Linked DNA regions of Stegostoma tigrinum. The protein of the gene in region 1 binds, or shares a complex with, the protein of each later gene. Links are inferred from orthologs where the notes say so. Each region holds a gene or a part of one and is shown in the gene's direction. Other genes may lie near its edges.

Region 1 (6,922 bases):
GGGACAGCGCTCATAAGTATGAGCGTGTGTTCATAAATTGGGGATCCCTTGTACTTACAGTAAATGTTCCATGTTAGCATATAGCCTAATGATAAGATATTTCAAATTGAAAATGATGGAAAGTGCAATTGAAATAAATTATTCACTATACACCAATTTCTACGAGTTTCTGGATGTGAGTTTGCTCGCTGAGCTGGAAGGTTAGTTTTCAGACGTTTCATCACCATTCTAGGTAACAGATGTTACCTAGAATGGTGACGAAACGTCTGAAAACTAACCTTCCAGCTTGGGGAGCAAACTCACATCCAGAAACTCAACTTGAGCTACAAATCTTCTCCAAACTCGCTACCTTCTACTGAGTTATCTGAGACTGCATACTTATTCATAAAGTTTGTTTTTAAATAACTATAAATTATATCCACTTGACCATTACAGAATTTGCAACAAAATTCAACTTGTCTCTATTATAACATCTTCCAGTCGATACTGATCCATGAGGCAGGTGCATGCTGAGTTCCACCTTCACTTTTATGCTGAGTCAGCCAACTCTGAGCAGATCCATGTTAGAACTTCCCTGATATGTAAACTGTGTCAATTGAGACTGTGTTCTTGTGATAAATATGGCCTTGATCTATACCCATGTGGACATTGTTCTGACTCTGCAATTGAATGGAGCAAATTTTCCCATTTTCCCACCTGAGGCTTTAGCCACACAATGTCTGATGTCTGGAATTCCCTCTAAATTGCTCCACCATCTTTAAGATGGCCCTTTTGACCTACCTTTTGGTCACATGTTCAGGTATCACCTTATGTAGTTCAGTATCAAATTTTCTTTAATGAAATTTCTGTGAAGTGCCTTGGGATATTTATTACATTCATGTTAGCACCTTTAATGGATGTTATCAAGCCCAAATTAAACAATACTGAATTAATGCAATACAACCATTTACAGAAACGATCATGAACAGCCGTAGTGAAGAGAGGAACATCTCCCACCTGGTGCAGATAATTGAATATTTACAAGTTTTACTTCTACAAATATTGTGTAGAAATTCATCACAGACCAAGTACCAAATGATAAAGGAAGATAAAAAGATAACATCTGGTGTAGAAAATCTGTCCGTCAAATGCTATGGTATTGGAGGATCCAGAGTAATGAATAGTGTCGATCTTTATATGAGTCTAAAATAAAACAAATCACCACGGGGAGCACAAGTAATCAGGAGGGGTCGGAACATCAAGTTTTATTAGATACAGGCTGTTGAATATTGGTGTCCCTTTAAAACTAAATTTTCCTAGTATTTGCTGTATATAGCACAGGGTTTCATTTAAAAGCTAGGACACCTGTACCTTCAATTTCAAAGTTCTCATATGAAATTAAAATGAAAAATTACAAAAAAGGACATAATGCCATGAATTAGCATCAACAAGTATCTGGTACCAAACAAACCCTGTTGGTGGAAAAGCTCGGCAGATCTGGCAGAAACTGTGGAGAGAAGTCTGAGTTAACGATTTGGATTGAGTAACCCTTTCCACAGATTCTGCCAGATCTGCTGAGTTCTTCCAGCATTTTCTGTTTTTTTTTCTAATGTACAGCATCTGTAGTTCTTTAGGACCCTGCCAGTATATTGTTTTTGAAAATAAGTATTTATTCTCAGAAAGAATCGTAAACAAACCCTCAGGTTAAGGTGGGCAAGGGGACAATAGTCATGTAATGTCATGGATAGTTGTTCCATGGCCATTTGCTAAAAAGGTTCAGATTGATGGGCACATAGAAAATAATGTGTACCCTAACATGGTAATTCAGTTGGGTTGCTCTTATAAACCATGGCAACAAAATGGTAGATTGTGGAGAGCATTAGAACTTTGTTCTTGAATTAATATCTTTAAATTTAAGGCCTAGGCTATTGCTCTTTATAATCGGGAAAGATGTTCACATTTTGAACTTTATGACCTTTACAACAATGGAGAAAAATCTGGGATATATGTAATTGTATTTTAAATAACTGCACTGGTTTGCCTCTACTACATTGCTTGGTAGATTATTTTAAACATTTTTCATTGGGTAAGAATGGTTCTCCTGATACCTGTACCAAATTAACACTGATTTATAACTTATGTCCTTTACCTCCTTTTTTGGCATAATTTAGAGTCTTTTTAAGATAATATTTATTTTTTGTGATTTTTCAAAAAATTTCTTAAAGCACACAAGCTTTAAGCCTGATTAATGTTTCTTTGTCATTTCTCCCTTCTATGCTGAAAGTATCCTTTTCTAACGTGTAAAACTTTCTTAGTAACAGACAAAAGTGAACAGTTTTCCAAATGGATGAGGGATGCATGTGGATCAAATGCACCAATGTAACACAGATGATAAGATCGAAGGGTTTGTTGCATTGTATAGCCAACCTTGTACTATGATTTGTACTGTTAACAAATCTTATCAATAAAAGAAAGGACAGGGTGAAATTCATGATAACAAAGTGTGGAGCTGGATGAACGCAGCATCTTAGGAGCACATAAGCTGACGTTTCGGGCCTAGACTCTTCATCAGAAAAAAAACCATGGATTGGCAGCAACAATAGAAATTGCTGTCGAAACTCGGCATGTTTAGCAGCATCTGTGGGAGAAAGCAGAGTTAACATTTCAAAGCCATTGTCTCTTAATTGGAACTGCGCCAGATCTGCTGAGTTTTGCCAGCAATTTCTGTTTTTGTTTCCGATCTCCAGAATCTGCAGTTGTCTTTTTTTATTTTGTGGATTTACGGATTGAATTACATTCGTGAATGTAAAATGAGGGAGAGATTATGGTCTCCATAGGTTGACTCAATAAATACCATCAAAAAGTGCACAACATATGGAACTGTGTTTACAGATTATTTTTAATTTACACGACACCAGGCTATAGTCCAACGGGTTTATTTAATATCACAAGCTTTTGGAGCGCAGCCTCTTGCTCAGGTGAAGTGTGAGCAAAGAGCACACAGACCAATTTAGACAACAGAAATCAAGGGCAGAGAGTTAGAACTGGTGTGAGTCCAATGATAAGTCCCTGCAGGTATCCGAGAGTGATAGATGGTGTGAATAAAGAGTCGACAGCTGAATAACAAGTGAAGGGACGCCTATAATCCGATTATGAGGCAGAGAGATAATTACAAAACAACTAAACTAACTGGAAATAACAGGATAGGTATGGCAGTCACATGCTGAGGGTCTAAGCAAAATAATGAATATTTCCAATCTACAAACTAATTAAGGTAGAGATGGTGGCTCAGTGGTTAGCATTACAGCGTCAAAGTCATAGATTTGATTCTACCCTTGGATGACTGTGTGGGTTTCCTCTGGGCGCTCCAGCCTGCACCCACAGTCCGAAGATGTGTAGGTTTGGCCGTGCAAAAACTGCTCATAGTTTGCAGGGAAGTGCAGGCTCGGTGGGTCGGCGATGGGGAATGCGGGGTTACGGGGATTGGATGGGCCTGGGTGGGACGCTGTTCCTGGGGTCCGTGTGGACTCGATGGGCCGAATGGCCTGCTTCTACACTGTAGGGATTCTATGATCATAACACTTTATCAAGGTGATGCTGTCAACACAGGACAGTAAGGAAGCACTCCACATCATGTTTCTGTTCGACGATTACAACAACTACATTTATCTTTTGATTTCGGCGAAAACAACGCCTTTTAAATATAAAGGAAATGTCATTACCTTCCAATCAACTAATTTGTTTTGTACATATTGTTGGAATAATACTCATGCAAGTAAAAGCTATCTGTTTAAAATGAATGAACATGAATTGAGGCACAATCCAAATGTCTTGAGTTGGGAACTCAGCATTGCATCCCCCTCCCTCCTGCGCACGCTCGGCGATCCTGAAGCGGAACCTTTATCGTTTGCCGTTGTTGCCCCCCCGATCCTTCTATCTCGTTGGACAAATGGCGGACAAGTGGAGGCAGCTGTGTGGCGAAGAGCGGCTCCGGCCGAGCCTGAAGAACCTGACAGAGCCGGGGCTGAGGATGGGGCGAGTGGGCTTGGACCCGGACCCGGAGCAGCGGCAGCGGCGGAGGGCATTGCTGGAGTTGGTCGCGGCTCACGTGGACTCGTTCGACCAGGCGGTGAGCGAGGGGCTGGCTAGGGCCGTGCAGGTGAGTGCGAGCCCAGAGCACGTGGGGCATGGGTTCGTGTCGGGGCGGGGGGGGGCGGAAACGGAGGGCAACAATGGGGCACGGGCACTGGGGGGGGGGGCGGAAACGGAGGGCAACAATGGGGCACGGGCACGGGCACTGGGGGGGGGGCGGAAACGGAGGGCAACAATGGGGCACGGGCACTGGAGGGGGGGGCGGAAACGGAGGGCAACAATGGGGCACGGGCACTGGAGGGGGGGGCGCGGAAACGGAGGGCAACAATGGGGCACGGGCACTGGGGGGGGGGCGCGGAAACGGAGGGCAACAATGGGGCACGGGCCCTGGAGGGGGGGGGGGCGCGGAAACGGAGGGCAACAATGGGGCACGGGCCCTGGAGGGGGGGGGGGCGCGGAAACGGAGGGCAACAATGGGGCACGGGCCCTGGGGTGGGGGGCGGAAACGGAGGGCAACAATGGGGCACGGGCCCTGGAGGGGGGGGGGTGGAAACGGAGGGCAACAATGGGGCACGGGCCCTGGGGTGGGGGGCGGAAACGGAGGGCAACAATGGGGCACGGGCCCTGGGGTGGGGGGCGGAATCGGAGGGCAACAATGGGGCACGGGCCCTGGAGGGGGGGGCGGAAACGGAGGGCAACAATGGGGCACGGCCCTGGAGGGGGGGGGGCGCGGTAACGGAGGGCAACAATGGGACACGGGCCCTGGAGGGGGTTGGGGGGGGTCACGGGCGGCAACAATGGGGTACGGGCTGGAGGGGCCGGAGGGCAACAACGAGGCACGGACCATGGAGCGGGGGTGGGGGGCCGGAGGGCAAGAAGGCAAGAATGGGGCACGGGCTCGGGGCGGGGGACAACAACAATGGTGCATGGTCATGGGGGGGGGCAACAATGGGGCATGGGCCCTGAGGCATCAACATGTACAGGGGCAACAGCAGTGGCTATAGAGCAGGCATAACTGCATTGGGCCATGAGGCATGTAACGGAGCATAATAGCACAGGGTAGTTGGACCATAGAAGGATCAGCAACATGGACCTGGGAAACAGCAGCAGCTATAGAGGAGGCATAACTGCAGTGGGCCATGAGGCATGTAACGGAGCATAATAGCACAGGGTAGTTGGACCATAGAAGGATCAGCAACATGGACCTGGGAAACAGCAGCGGTTGGAGTATCAGTCTTAAGGATCTGGGCATTGGCAACATCGACCATGGTATGGGTGATGAGCAACAGCACCTTGCAAGGGATAATGGGAACTGCAGATGCTGGAGAATTCAAAATAAAGTGTGGAGCTGGATGAACACAACAGGCCAAGCAGCGTCTCAGGAGCAAGGCTCTTGATAGGCAGATGAGGAAAGGATGTTTTCTTTTATGGGAGAGTCTTGAATTAAGGGTTGCAGTCACCTATTTAAAACAATGATGAGATTATTTTTCTTCTCGGCTGTGCATTGGGAGCCTTAGAACTCTGTTTCTTTAAAAAAAAGTGGTGGTAGTGGAATTTTCAAGGAACCGTATGTACAATCATCTTGTGCTAGGTGATGAAAATCAGGGTTTGGTGGGAATGGGGATTTGGAGTTGTAATCAGGTGAGCTGTGATCTTACTAAATGGTGTTGTAGACTCAAGAGGCTGAATGGCCTACCCCTGATTCTAATATAGAGTCACAGAGATGTACTGCACAGAAACAGAAAGTGCTTTTAAATTTTTAAAAGACCTTGACTATTTACCCGATCCATGCTCCTCATGATTTTATAAACCTCTATAAGGTCACCCCTCGGCCTCTGACTGCAACAGGGAAAATAGCCCCAGCTATTCAGCCTCTCCCTATAAGCTTAAACCCTCCAATCCTGGCAGCATCCTTGTACATTTTCTGAAGAAGGGTCGAGGCCCGAAACGTCAGCCTTCCTGCTATGTTCATCCAGCTCTACACCTTGTTATCTCAGATTCTCCAGCATCTGCAGTTCCTACTACCTCTGAGATCAGAACTGCACACAGTATTCCAAATGTATGTTTATATGAAAGCAGCAACTGGACAGGGAGAATAGCTACATGAATCTGAGTAATGACATCAGAGGCATCAGAAACATGCTCCAAGGCAGCAGTAATATGGACCCTGAGCCACCACCCAGATGCCGGTGCTCTGAATTGCAAGAGCAAATGTCAGCCTGGGCCTTGGTAGCTCTTCAGTTGGTTGGGCTGGGCTTTATTCATCAGCCATTCCCACTAGTTTCCTTAATTACTGTAGAGATGTAGAACATAGAAGGGAACCACTTCTCCACTCAAGATTCTTTGAAGTGCAGTCAACATCCTTGCTGTTTTTACTCTTCAATTATTTATTGAATTTCTTCTTGAATGAGTCAAATCTCATCTTTATCTTCTTTGCTTCAAGAGGTCTCACACCTCCTCCAGTCTTTCTATGCAATTATAATCCCTCATTGTTGAACCTATTCTATTAATTTTTAAAATTCTGTCCAAAATCTTTGTAATCTTCCTTAATTGGACACAATGCTCCTGATTGGACAGCACTGGTATTTTATTTCGGTCAATTCTTGTATAATATCCTGGCATTTGTACCCGACAATAAAACCCAGAATCCCATATCCTTTCTTAACTGCTTTATTAGAGTCATAGAGATGTATACAGAATGGAAACTGACCCTTTGGTCCAACCTGTCCATGCTGACCAGATATCCAAAATAAATCTAGTCCCGTTGCCAGCATTTGGCCCATATCCCTCTAAACCTTTCTTATTCCTGTACCCATCCTTTTAAATGTTGTAATTGTACTAGCCTCCTTCA
Region 2 (7,242 bases), on another chromosome or scaffold:
CAATGTTTAAAAGACATTCGAATAATAACATGAAAAGGAAAGGTTCGGAGGGATGTGGGCCAGGTGGGACTAGTTTAGTTTGGGATTATGTTCAGCAAGGACTGGTTGGACCAAAGAGACGGTTTCTGTGTTTTATGACTCTATGATGCACTCATAAGCTTCTTAAACTGAGAACTAACTTTCCATCCATGTGTCAACTTGGCAATATTTCACTCCAGATTTGCAAGTTGTCAATAGTACCTAATTAAATCTGTTAAGGCTCAGGTAATGGTTCCCAGAACAAATTTGTTCGAGATCACTAAGGAGTTAGGATGTGCTACATTGTAAATGTCACAGACATAAATGTGTTTATTTACCTTTGTTTGCAAATTAAATATTAGGAGGGACTGTTGTGAATGTTGTTCCGCTAAAGCTATCCTCTGATTCAATGATGTCGATTACTCTTGTTATTGACCTGGGCACCCAACTTTCACAGCACTTGGTTCCCACTGCCCTATATTATACTTGCAACGGTGTAAGTTCTGTATTTGAAGCATATGGACATATTCAATCTCTCTGATGATTGACCCATTAATTGTCAAGGAGGTAAATTTTCATTCAAATTATTGACTGATTTATTCCAAAGAAAGATAAAATGTACAATAAACAAATCTGTTCAGAGTCACTTAATTTATCAGGCAAAACTTATGGTCACAAATGTGACAACAATGAAGAACACAGGTCACTTGGAATCGATTAGAACATAGAATGTAGAACAATACAGCACAGTACAGGCCCTTGGGCCTACGATGTTGCGCCAACCTGTTATCCTACTGTAAGATCAAAACTAACCTGCATAACCTTCATTTAACTATCATCCTTGTGCCTATCCAAGAGTCGCTTGAATGATCCTAAGGTATCTGACTGCACTACCACCGTTGGCAGCACATTCCACTCACCCACCACTCTCTGTGTGAAGAAACTACCTCTGACATCTCCACGACACCTTCCTCCAATCACTGTAAAATTATGCCCCTCCTAATAGTAATTTCCACCTTGGGAAAAAGTCTCCGGCTATCCACACTATCTATGCCTCTCATCATCTTGTACACCTCTGTCAAGTCACCTCTCATCCTTCTTCGCTCCAATGAAAAATGCCCTACTTCCTTCAATCTTTCCTTATAAGACCTGCTCTCACGTCCAAGCAGCATCCTGGTAAATCTCCCCTGCACCCTCTCTAAAGCTTTCTCATTCTTCCTATAATGAGGCGACCAGAACTGAATGGAATATTCCAAGTGTGGTCTAACCAGGGTTTTATAGAGCTGCAGCATAGCCCCGCGGCTCTTAAACTCAATTCCCCAGCCAATGAAAGCTAACACACCATACACATTCTTTACAACCCTATCAACTTGGGTGGCAACTTTGACGGATCTACGGACGTGAACCCTAAGATCCCTCTGTTCATCCACACTACCAAGAATCCTGCCATTAACCCCGTAAGAGGATTGTGTCCTCTTATTTAACTTAATAAGAATAAGTCTGCCTGTTTTGTTTCTTTGTGGTCTTGGAATAATCCCATCTTTGCTTCCCTTTAGGATCCTGGCTGCTCCAACATTTTCTCAGCATATCCTTGACAGACTGCCTTTTTGGTGTTTGGGTTCGGAGTTTTAGTACTCTCTTTCACAGATCTATCAAGACCAAAAGGGAATTTTCATATGTGATGATGTGAGATGTATTTTGAGTGCCAGATATGCTAAAGAATCTCCCTAAGAGAGAATTCAGAGAAATGACTTGTCATTTTGTGTATTAATTTACTTTTGCCTGACCAAGGATCAATAACTTCCTGTAATCATGACCTGAGAAACTAGTCTTTTTGAGATATACCTTTGCTCCAAATATGTTTTAAAGGTTTTCTCTGCCTAGGCAATAGATCAATATATAACAATGATGACCGACCCATGAGGTTAACAAGTAAGAAAATAAAATACGACTTCTAAAAAACTTGTCATGTTCCTCAAAGCAACTTTTTGAAATATATTCATCTATCTGATCTCCTAGTTTTCTTTATTCACTTATTGGGCATGGGTGACACCGGCTGGACTGGCATTTATTGCCCCTCCCTAGTTGCTCTTCAGAAGATAATAGTGAGCTGCCCTCAAGTTAGTGTAGTTACACGCACAATGCCCTTAAGGAGGGAATTGCAGGATTTTGACTCAGTGACGCTGAAGGAATAGTGATACATTTCCATGTTATGATGGTGAGTGGCTTGTAGGGAAACTTGCAGTGTCCCCATATATCTGCTGCCTTTTACTTTCTGAGTGGAAGTGATCGTAGGTTTGGAGGGTGCTGTCTAAGCAGCTTTGGTGAATTTCTGCAACGCTGCTCATAGATAGCACCCAATGAGGCTGCTGTGCATCAGTAGTGGAGGAAGTGGGTTTTGATGGATGTGGGACCAGTTAAGCAGCCTGCTTAGTCCTGAATAGTGTTAAGTATCTTGAGTATGTGAGAGCTGCACTAAGCAAGTAGGGAGTATTTCATCAGAGTCCTGACTTGTGGTTTGTGCATGCTGGACAGGCTTTGGGGTACTTTGGGAATTACAGAAAAATTTCTTCCCTCTGACTTGCTCTTCTTACTGATAGTGGGCTTAGAATGCTACCCTGTAGAACTCCCGCATGGATATCCTGGAGTTGAGATGATTGATCTCCATCAATCACAACCTACTTCCTTTGGCTAGGACTGACTCCAACTAGCAGAGTTTTCTTCTTGATTCCCATTGATGCTAGTTTTGCTAGAATTCCTAGATGTCACACTTGATTAAATGAGGCCTTGCTACCACCCTTATTGCTTGCTCCGGGTGCTGAGGGGATGATGGTATGCTGTAAAGAGCAGGAGAATGTTTTTATACATGTTTGACCTGATGCCGTGGCACCTCATGACAAACAGAATCAACGTTGAAGACTCGCACGGCATGTCCCTCCTAACTGTATACTACTGTATTGTCATATCCACTAGATCTGTCCTGCCAGTGGATCATTGTCTGTGAAGTATCATTCTGTGTGTATGATTATGTCAAGTAGTTGCTTAATGAATCTATAAAACAGCTCTCTTAATTTTGGCTTGAAAGCCCAGATGTTAGTAAGTCAGAGTTAGCTTATAGAGTTGACAGGGTTGTGTTTGCTATTGTCCTTTCCTTGGTCAATGCCAAGTGGGTGTGACCTGTTTCACTGTTTTATTACTTTCTTGTAATTGATACATCTGAATGGCTTGCTAGGCCATTTCAGATGATGGTTAAGAGTCAAGCACATTATTGTTGGTCTGGAGCCAGGCCAGGCGAGAACAATAGTTCCGTTCCTATAGGACACTAGTGAACGAGATGGGTTTTCTCAACAACTGACATTGGTTTCTGGGTCATCATTAGGCTTTTAATTCCAGATTTTTATCAAATTGGAATTCCACCATTTGCTGTGGTGGAATTCAAACTCAGAACATTACCAGGGTCTTTGGCTTACTGGTCCAGTGGCAATATCTCGAGACCATCGCCTCGTCTCAAAGTAAGGACTGAAGTATGAAGGAATGAACAGAAGAATACTTTTCTCAGGGCTGTTTCCAGGACAATTCATTCTTGCCAGTAGAGAACTATTCACAAAATTGCCTGCAGAGATGAGAAACATCAGTAACATCAGTAGATTAGACAAAGTGGAATTGTACCTTTTGGAGGAGATTGAAGTGTGATTTAACAGAATTGTTGAAAATCATGAGGTGTTTGAACAGAATAGGTAGAGAGTGAACATTAATGGGAGCATTATAGACTACAGAACACAAACTTTCGATAACTGGTAAAGGAAGCATTCAGGGGAAATGTTTTAATTCAGTTATTAGGGTCTAGAATACACTGGCTGAGACTGTGGTGGAGACAGAATCAAAGGGAATTTTATCTTCATTTTGTTAAAAGGAAAAGTAGAGGGTTAGCAGCACCTGGTGAACTACAGATGGCTCGCTAAGTAACAAAAAAAACACACTGAATGGCCTCCTTCAGCAGTGGAATCATTCCAGGTGGACAGAGAGTACGATTTTAACTCTCGACATGGATGATTTTTAAATCTATTGAGAATTCTGACAGTAAATGTGATAACCACAGTTGCATAAACTTGACCACCTACAGCTCATTCCTCTCCTACTTCCCGTACCAGTTCTGACTGGAAACCAGCACCACCTGGTGGCCGGTGAACCACTTTACGACAGCTCGGCGCCGCTTTACGGCGGCAGCAGCAGCATGGCGAGTTCTGGGCCGGAGGGCCGTGTGGTCTCAGGGGGAGGACAGCAGCTCTCTTTCAGCCAGGCCTGCTCCCTCATCAAGAGCCCGTACTCGTGCCTGGTGCTGGACACCTTCCGAAGGCACATCACCCTGTCTCCAGTCTTCCTTAAGCGGCAGAGATCCGGCATCGAGAAGCAGCTCCGGACAGAGCTACTCCGTTTCTCCGAGAGGTGAGGGGCGCGGAAACAGGCCCTTCGGCCCAGCCCGGCCGTGCCGACCCGCTTTCCCTCAACTAAACCTCCCTGCGTTTGGCCCGTTATCACTCTTAAACTTTCCCTTTTCACGCGTCTGATGTGAGGGTGGGTGCGGGGTGAGACGAGTTGGGTGAGGAGGATGTAGGAGAGGGGCAAGAGGTGGAGGAGAAGAGAGAGGGAGCACTGGGGATTTGGAAAGATTACAGAAGACGGGGGAAGACCGGAGAGGCTGAATGAGAGGGCATCAGTTTCAGAGGGTGGAGGAGGGAACTCACTTAAAAACAAAGGTTTAAACTCCAAACTCATTAGCCCATGGATTTAAAATACAGAATCAATTCTGTATTCCTATTACTCTTACAAACACATTTGAAATCCGGCTTGACCTCTGTAGACCAGAACTCCATGGATCAGCACTCCGAAGCCAGCAAAGGACCCGGTCAGATGATCCAGATTCTCTATCACTCTACCAACTCAATGTCAGAACTGGTTCGCCTTACTTCGCTTCCTTACCCCTCTTCTCTCACCCATCCCAACTGAACTTCCCAAAGCCGTAGCCCAGTTTTTGCTCACCCCAATCTCAACTCTCCCCTTCTGGCAACCTTCTCTTAAACCGAACCCCATCTCTACCCCTATTTTTGCCACTCCCTCCTCCAGTTCTCCTTGCAGAAATTATATTTGCTCAGTTACCTGTTCACCTATATGTAAGTTGATTTATGTGCATGGACACCTGATAGACCCTTTGTGTTGCAGCATTCTGCTCTTTCTTTCCATTTAAGTAGCATTTTTGTCAATGCCAAGGGCAATGAACTTAAATTCCAAAGTATTCTCTTCTATAATTTTGTTAAATTCTGTTTCCTTTTAAAAATGGATAATGTTGCCGCACTTATAAAATAGCTGAGGCTGATCAAATGACTTTCAATAAGTTTCTGAAATACCTACGTTGTATCGTATTTCCACCTAAAACTGACGCACAGTTGCTGGTCACGAGCTGATTTTGTCAAGCCAGCTGTGGACAAAAGAAGTGTCTGTCCTTGTCATGTGGCTGAAATTTGAACTAGCTAACTTGCTTAAATATATAATTCTGGGATTCTAAGTCAGTTGCATGTTGACCTTAAAGGGAGAGCAGAACTTGCAAGTTAAGTTGGCAGCTTGCATCGGATAATCATTAGCTGGAAAAATGCCGAGTCTTTGTCTGGCAGAAGGGAAGATGCTGTTGTTGAAAAACTGTTCACCCTCTCACTTGCCCTCTTTGAGACACTGAACTGCTCAACAGCCAGTGTCGCTCTGCCTGGGCTCTCTGTCCCAGGCTTCCCTAGCTGTGTAAACATTCAGCTTTAGTAGGACCATCACTGCAAGAGTAACCATAGATGTTAATGCAAATAGAACCTACGAATGTTACCCGTGCGTGTGCAGATGCACTCAAGCTTAAAAATCTGTCACCACGTCTAATGGTGCAGATGGAAGTTTTGATGGTCATCTTTGTGTTTGTGTCAATTATTCCATTTGTTGTAGTAACACTGATTTTTATTGTCATATGTACAGAAATATAATGAAAGGCTTTGCTTACCATGACCTGCCCGTCACGCTCGTAAGCAAAGGATGTACAGATCAAAACAACTTAGAGGCATACAGGTTACATTGCAAGCATCATTATTTGAGGCTAGAGTCCATTCAACAGTCTGATAATAGCAGGACAGAAGCTGCTTGTGCGTGTATTCAGGTTTCTGTATCTTCTGCCTGACAGAAGAGGTTGTAGGGGATCATTACCAGGGTGCGATGGGTCTTTGATAATATTGGTCACCCTTCTGCAGCTGTGAGCTGTGTAATTAAAGTCCATGGACGGAAGATTGGCTTCTGTGATGGTCTGGGCCATACATACAACCTTTTGTAGTTTTTTACAGTCCTGGGCAGAGCAGTTGCCATACCAGGCCGTTATGCACCTGGACAGGATGCTTTCTATGGTGCATCTGTAGAATTTAGTGAGGGTATCTAAGGACATGCTAAATTTCCTGAACTGTCTGAAGAAAAAGAGGCATTGTTGTGCCGCCTTGACTGTGGCATTTACATGTTAAGTCCAGGACAGGTTATTGTCACTCCAAGGAACTTGATGCTCTTCACTCTCCACCTCAGTTCCATTGATGTAGATGAAGGTGTGTTCTCCTTTCTTTTTGAAGTAGATGGTCAGTTCTTTAGTTATTGAATGTTAAAAGGAGGTGGTTGGACACTGTCTCGTTGGAGACTTTGGCACTTGTTGCTTATCAGCTTGAACCTGTGGAGTCCAGGTTTAACTGCATGTGAGTATAAACTCATTAGCTGAGGAATAGCAAATAAAACTGAACTTTGAGTAATCATCAGAGATTGTCCTCTCTTCTAATCATAACATTAAGGAAAGGTTATTCGTAAAACAGCTAAAGAACTTGGTCTACTGCTCTGTTGAGTTGGCTTTCAGCATCTACGATTTCCTTCCTTTTGTACTAGACTTCCAACAAATGGACAGTTTTCTCCAATTCCTATTGATGAAATTTTACTTGGGCTACTTGATGCCATGTGTCGTCAAACAGTAACTTGATAAGAAGGATATTGTTTCCTTTACCATCTTACTGTTTATCCATGTTTGGATCAACGCTGAATTGAGCTGAAGAGCCTAATGATCTCGGTGGAACCCAAATTGAGTAGATTATTGTTGACTGTGTACAATGATAGCACAGTCAATATCAGCTTCCATCACATTATGATTGAAAGTAGTTTTATGGA
Region 3 (7,029 bases), about 96 Mb from region 1:
GTTCCAGATGAAATCAAAGACGGGCAACAGAAATTCTGGACTACCAACATAAGGAAAAGGGTTTTAACAGAGAATTTAACACAGTACTATTTGGAAAGGAGTTCCAAGATTTTGATTCAGCAACTTTGAAGTCAGAATAACGCATAGCTTAGAGGGAAACTTGCAGGTGATGGTGTTCCCAACCAAGCTCTTGTCCTTCTCGATCACAGGGGTCACAGGTTGGTAAGTCTTGGTGAGTTATGCAATTGTATCTCATAGATGATACCCACTGCTGCCATTGTGGTGAAGGGAGTGAATGTTGAAGGTGGTGAATGGATACTAATCAAGATACAATTCTGAAGAGGCTAACAAAGTTTACGCCAGGATAAGAATGAACTGGGGATCAAAGGCACTAAGAATAATAGCAACCTTATAAAAACAGCATCCTGAAAGAGTGCAGACATGAACATCCAATGCTCAGACAAACAAAAGAACACACTCTCAAAACATATAACAATATTATCTTAAGGCAGTTTCAGCCATATCTGAACAATGCTCTCTTCCTTTTCACTGAGAGAACATGTGCAAAACTGAAGGAAAATGGGACTAAATTGTACAGGTTAACAATGTTCCCTCAACACTAAACTGTGAATGGCACCAGAAAATTGTAAGCTTTTTATAAATGAGAGATAAAGTGAATAAAAAGTAATAATGGGATACAGATGGACTCAAGTTTTATTCTGACTTTACTGTAACATTACAAACAGAAATACAAAATCAAAATACTATTAATGCTGGAAATTTGAAATAAGATCAAAATATGCTCGAAAAGTTCAGCAACTCAGGCAGCAACTAGGCAGAAAAAGAGTGTTGATCTAATCAAAATTGTTGTAGAAATAAGAATATTTGTGAGGGGTGGATCATGCCTCACAAACCTTATTGAATTCTTTGCAGAGGTGACCAAACATGTGGATGTGGTATACATGGATTTAAGTAAGGCATTTCATAAGGTTCCCCATGGTAGGCTCATGCAAAAAGTAAGGAGGCATGGGATGGGGGAAATGTGACAGATTGGATTCGGAATTGGCTGACCCTTAAAAGGCAAAGGGTGGTAGAGGATGGAAATTATTCAACATGGTGCTCAGTTATGAGTGGTGTACCACAAGGATCTGTTCTCAGTCCTCATCTATTTCTGATTTTTATAAATAATTTGGATGACTGAGTGGAAGGGTGGATTAGTCAGTTCGCGGACGATACGAAGGTGGGGTGGAGTTGTGGATAGTGTGGAAGGCTGTTCTAGGTTACAAAGGGATATTGGTAGGATGCAGAGTTCTGCTGAGAAATGGCAGGTGGAGTTTAACCCTGAAAAGTGTAATGTGATTCATTTTGGAAGGACAAATTTGAAAGTGGAATACAGGGTTAACTGAAAGATTCTTGGTAGTGTGGAGGAGCACAGGGATCTTGTGGTTCATGTCCACAGTTCCCTGAAAAATGGGTAGAGTTGTTAAGGAGGTGTATGGTGTGTTAGTTTTCATTAATAGAGGGATTGAGTTCAAGAACCATGAAGTTATGCTCCAGCTATACAAAACCCTGGTTCGGCCACATCTGGAGTATTGTGTCCAGTCCTGGTCGCCTCATCACAGGAAAGATGCGGAAGTGTTGGAAAAGGTGCAGAGGAGATTTACCAGGCTGTTGCCTGGAATAGAAGGAAGGTCTTACGAGGAAAGGTTGAGAGAGCTAGGGCTTTTCTCTTTAGAAGGATGAGAGGTGACTTGATGGAGGTGTACAAAATGATCAGAGGTACAGATAGAGTGGACAGCCAGAGACTTTTTCCAGGGGTGGAGATAGCTATTACGAGGGGGCATAATTTTAAAGTGAGTGGATATAGATATAGAGGAGACGTCAGAGGTGGGTTCTTTACTCAGAGAGTGGACAGGGCGTGGAATGCATTGCCAGAGAGGGTAGTGGATTCAGCCACATTCGGGACATTTAAGCAGCTATTAGATAGCCATATGGATGATAGTATAAGTTAGGGGTGGAGGTTGGATTGACCTGGTGCAGTAAGTTTTTTAAAAACAGATGTAGGTATCCTCACTAGAGGACCACTGGTGTGCACGTAACTTCATAACGGACTTTTATATAAGGGACACTCCACTACTTGTTTTTGAATTTTTTTCACTTCTGTTATGAAGCTGTTTTAAACACTATTCCAGGTCTATCATGTCCAAACAATTAAATGTTGTACAAACATCTGAGCCCATTTTTCAGTTTAAAGGTTGACTTCATTCTATTTACATCTGATCAGTTGTTATGCCATCCCACGCCCTCCCCATGCAAATTTTGCTGGAAAACGTGCTGAGTTGAATTGATTACATTGTTCCGACGTGGTATGATCCGTGAGTTGTGAGGCCTCATTGTGTTCACTTTGCATTGCGCATTGTTCTTCGGAGTATTTTTTTTATTGTGAAAATATCTTACTCATTTAAAAAAAAAGTACGTACACAGATACTAAAGCAGTTCTGTACAGTGTTCGCACGTCAAGAAAAGCTGTAATCTGACATTCCCTGCGGTTGCAAAAACCAAAGACATTTCTTATTTATGCAGGACACTACGTACATTTGAGGCAACGAGAGGGTCTGACACTGAACGCACCACCATTGTACTTCGGCAGAGACTTCAGACGGTGCCATTCTCCGAGTTTTAAATCACCTCCTTGTTGTCTAGACATTGAATCACACGATTACTGTCCTTCCACGCCTCTTTTCCCTGATTGATTTTCATCTAATGATTATTCACGCACTAGGTTTCAGTTTCCAACGAACCCTACCCAATCTTGCGTCGTTCCATTTCGACGAAATTAAAACCTTCCACAGGCCAAATATTCAAACTGCTGACTGAAAAGTTAAGTTTAAAAATAAACTGGGTCATATTTACGTGTCCGACACAGCCTCTTAAAAGGCACAAACCCATTCACGGACAGAGCGCGTGTGTTGATGCATTAAAAGTGAAATGTATTAAACTTCGCGCAGGGTTTCCTGCCTATTCGGTGAACTTCAAGGAGCAGGCGGTCACGTTCCGCCGGATACGGACAGGTTAGAGCGGCGGACCGGAAGTGCGCTGTGGGGGGGGGGGAGGTGGTCCGGTTGGAACTGCTTTGGGGGGTGGGAGGAGTGCTCGGGGTTTGGGGAAATGGATGAGGAGGACACGGTGAGTGGAGCGGGCAGAGGGCGTGGAGCAGGCCGCCCTTCACCTGTGATGCCGCTAAGGGCCTCACCCTCATTTGAACGGTGTTACTGTAGAACTTTAAATCTGTCAGCAAGGAGGTGATCTGTCGCCACACTTCTGTTAATATAAATGACTCATTGGTTTGGGTGGACCGTCTCGGCCTGAAGCTCTCTCAGTCCCCCCTCCACACCCCCTTTACTGGCCTGAGCGTCATGGTGGGTCTGACAGTCTTCCCCGACTTAATCCCTCGGAGATATGACATCCTCGCCAAGCTAAACAGTTGGCTTTTACACTCCCTCGCCCTTGCCAGCCCCTACCTTCTTGCCGTCCTCCATATTCCCCATCCTCTGTGTATACCTCGACATTTCCCCACCATCTACCCTAACCCACTCCATCATTTATCTAGGAAACTGGCCAACTGCCACGCCATTCCCATACTCACCGACATACTTGCACTTGCGCTGCACATGTCAAAGTAACCGTCTGCCTTTAAATCTCTGAATACTGCACGCTGCTTGCTGCAAAAGGGGACTCTGAATTCTTCTCCCTTTTGCCCCATCCCCTCCAATTGACTATCCTGCGGAAGTGTTAGATCTCCTATTTCAGGATGAGGTGGGATCAGAATTCTCAGCTGAAATAGCGGACTTCAGTCCTAACAGCAAAAATGGAATTGAGGTGGTAATCTAACTGCGATTACAGTAAGGCATAATATCTAGTAGTAATAGACCATTCAGTCCAACAGGTCTGTTCCACTTTTAGTGAAATCATGACTGATTTGATAATCCTGAACTTCCTGGCTTTTACTCATAACTTTTGATTGAGGCCAAAATGTTGCATGTTTTCAAAAAGGAATTGGAGAAAGTTGTTATGGCTAAAGGGATCAAACAGTAAGGGGAGAAAGCAGACACAGTGTAGTGAGGTGAGTGATCAACCATGATAATGTTGAATGAACAGAGCAGGCTTGAAACACTGATTGGCCTACCTTCCTGTTTTCTGAGCTTATATTCCCTTACTGATGAGAAATCTGTCTATCTCAGCCCCTGAACATGTGCTTAATGGCTCAGCCTCCACAGCCATCTGTGTTAAAGAAGTCCTACTCCTCAGAGTGTCCATGCCATGGGCATTTTGTACAAGCTGGACATGACTAGGCTAAACTTGTTTGGTTTAGCAAATGAAGGCATTCCCATATTGGGAGCTTGTCATGTACACAAACATTCCTGGCATTTTGATTGTAATTACTGCTATCACTGTGAAATTACATTTTAATCTGTATGTGAGGTGTGGAATAAAAGTTACGATTCCTTCATTTTGGTTTCTTTATCCCCTTGCCAAAATGACATTGTATCATCTCATTCATGCATCAGTTTCTTTAGGAAAGGATTTGTTGAAATCTACATTTGTCTTTTCAGAGAGATTTCAGAGAGGCATGTGAACGATGTGCTGTGATTAACTGGGCAATTTCAGATGAAGGCAAATTCTTCTGCAAGTCCTGCCACAATGTTATTGAGGTGAGTACTATTTCATTAAGATTATATTTTATGTTCCCTCATTTAAGGACTGATCAAGTTACTGAAGACAATAACTTGTGGTATAATTACACGTACAATTTACAGGCAACCTTGATAGAGAATTTGTAAAGGTATCTAGATGAAACTACAATAGTTTTGAAATATATTGGTAAAATTTTCGTCAGTAAAATTAAGAGACAAAGAACAGTGACAATGTTTATTGTGAATACCAAGATCACGTTGAAGAGGGTGGAGGAGATGGTGTGGGTAAAGGGGAAAGCAGGAGAGAGAGCAGAGGTGTGTGTGTGTGTAGTCACACATGTGGGCAAGGTGTGTAGAGGGACGAGTGGGAATGGTACGGCTGAGCGTCTAGGGGAGGTATGGGTGTGAGAGTGTGGGAGCTGGTGCAGGAGAGAGGGAGTGGAGAGGGGCAGGTAAATGGGGGATTGGGTGAGGCTAGTGACATGGGGAACATACAAGGTGCAGCGGTGGGGAGGGCCAGACAAGGGTAACAGAGACCGTACCCAGAAAACTGTGAACACTTTTGGCCACCTTATCTAAGCTATATTTGTGTGAGAGTCACTCCAGAGAAGGTGCACTAGGCTGATCCCATGTATGAAGGGACTGTTTTAGGAGGTGAGGTTGAGTAGGTTGGACATGTACTCATTGGAGTTAAGAATGAGAGATGACCATATTGAAATATACAAGACTTTTAGGGATAGTCTGAAGAAAGATTTTTCGGGGACTTCACAAGGTAGTTGAAGAAAGCATGTTTTCCCTTCTGGGGAAAGTCTACAACCAGAGGTCAAAATCTCAGAATAAGGCGTCACTCATTTAATACGCTAAATTAAGATGAGGAGGAATTTCTTCTTTGAGGGCTGTCATCTGTTGAATTCTTTACCACAGAGGGCTGAAGAAACTGGGCTGTTAAGTATATTTAAATCTGGGATGGATCAATTTTGATCAGTAAGAGAATCTAGATTATGGAGAAAAGGCAGGAAAGTGGAGTTGAGGATTATTAGATCGGACATGGTTTCATTAAATGGTGGAGCAGACTTGATGGGCTGAATAGCCTACTTTTGCTCTGACACTTTGTGGTTCTATTAGTAAAACAAATGTGACCAGTGAATATGGCAAAAGAACCAGAGGTGAAATAGAGAAACATTATTTACACAGCAAACTGTTATGATTTGGAATGCACTGCTTGAAAGTGTGATTAAAGCACAGTCAATAGTAACTTTCATCCTTTCTTGTCGTAGTAAATTTTCAAAATATGAAGTTCTGTAGGAAATCTTTGTTGGATATTTGACCCGGCAATTTAATTTCTAACCTGGTAAGATAGGGATTCATTACTGGACAGGTGTTCGGGAAAGTTACCTGTTTCATCTTGTAATCGCACTGAATCAACATTGTCTTTGAAGAGAACGTCGGGAAATCTCCATTAAGCTCTTCACAGGTGAATAAGCTCACACGATATAACTTGACTATAACCATTCAAAAAGTTTAAATAGCTGACACAACAAAAACAGAAGTTACTGGAAAAGCTCAGCAGGTCTGGCAGCATCTGTGAAAAAAAGAAATTAGAGTAAATGTTTGAGGTCTGCTGGCTGCTCCCTGAGGAAGGGTCACCAGACCCGAAACGTCAGTTCTGATTTTTTTTCTTCACAGATGCTGCCAGACCTGCTGAGCTTTTCCAGTAACTTCTGTTTCTGTTCCTGATTTACAGCATCCACAGTTCTTTGGGTTTTTAAATAGCTGTCATGTCACTTTCAATTTCCAGGTAGCGCATTGAATCATTTTATAATATTGGTAGGAAATGAAATTTATAATCAGACACTAGAATACAAGTCTACACAGGCCAACCTGATGTCTTAGAGTGCATTGATAAAACCTCATACTGTGTTTAATTTTGTTCACTGTAATCACCAAGATATAGTTGCATTGTAAAGGATAAGAACAGTCTCAGCAAAAGTTGCCATTGTCAAAGGTTACAGGTCACATATTTGGCTTGCGTGCATTTGCCGATCACCACATGAGTTGAGCTGGTGCTGTACTTGACAGTTGCTCTGGGGTGTGGGAAGGGAGTATCATCTTGCATTCACATTCAAGAATCATACATTTAGTGCAGGCATTACTTCATCCACCAAACATTACTAGTTTTGCAGAATACACTGGATGAAGATGTCTTGCAACAATATTCCAACAGTTTTCACAGTCACTGGATGTCTCTGTGCGCTTTATGTCTAATGAAGTACTGGTGTGATCATTGTAATGTAGGAAAAGCAGCAGCCAACTTGCACAGCAGAAGCCCACAAAC

What was found. The genes of interacting proteins can lie anywhere in the genome.
Region 2: polr1b (region 1) and polr1f share a complex: the UniProt entries of both Homo sapiens proteins name them as parts of the RNA polymerase I (Pol I) complex. The link is inferred for Stegostoma tigrinum from reciprocal best matches to the Homo sapiens genes POLR1B and POLR1F.
Region 3: polr1b (region 1) and taf1b share a complex: the UniProt entries of both Homo sapiens proteins name them as parts of the pol I pre-initiation complex. The link is inferred for Stegostoma tigrinum from reciprocal best matches to the Homo sapiens genes POLR1B and TAF1B.

Annotation. Positions count from the first base shown.
Region 1 is NC_081357.1:19,879,691-19,886,612, reverse strand, and holds the start of polr1b (DNA-directed RNA polymerase I subunit RPA2), read left to right. Parts: upstream 1-3,915; 5' UTR 3,916-3,928; coding exon 3,929-4,138; intron 4,139-6,922. UniProt on the Homo sapiens protein: Catalytic core component of RNA polymerase I (Pol I), a DNA-dependent RNA polymerase which synthesizes ribosomal RNA precursors using the four ribonucleoside triphosphates as substrates.
Region 2 is NC_081355.1:73,093,641-73,100,882, reverse strand, and holds the start of polr1f (DNA-directed RNA polymerase I subunit RPA43), read left to right. Parts: upstream 1-4,237; 5' UTR 4,238-4,252; coding exon 4,253-4,464; intron 4,465-7,242. UniProt on the Homo sapiens protein: Component of RNA polymerase I (Pol I), a DNA-dependent RNA polymerase which synthesizes ribosomal RNA precursors using the four ribonucleoside triphosphates as substrates.
Region 3 is NC_081357.1:115,511,585-115,518,613, forward strand, and holds the start of taf1b (TATA box-binding protein-associated factor RNA polymerase I subunit B), read left to right. Parts: upstream 1-4,024; 5' UTR 4,025-4,039; coding exon 4,040-4,123; intron 4,124-4,613; coding exon 4,614-4,712; intron 4,713-7,029. UniProt on the Homo sapiens protein: Component of RNA polymerase I core factor complex that acts as a GTF2B/TFIIB-like factor and plays a key role in multiple steps during transcription initiation such as pre-initiation complex (PIC) assembly and postpolymerase recruitment events in polymerase I (Pol I) transcription.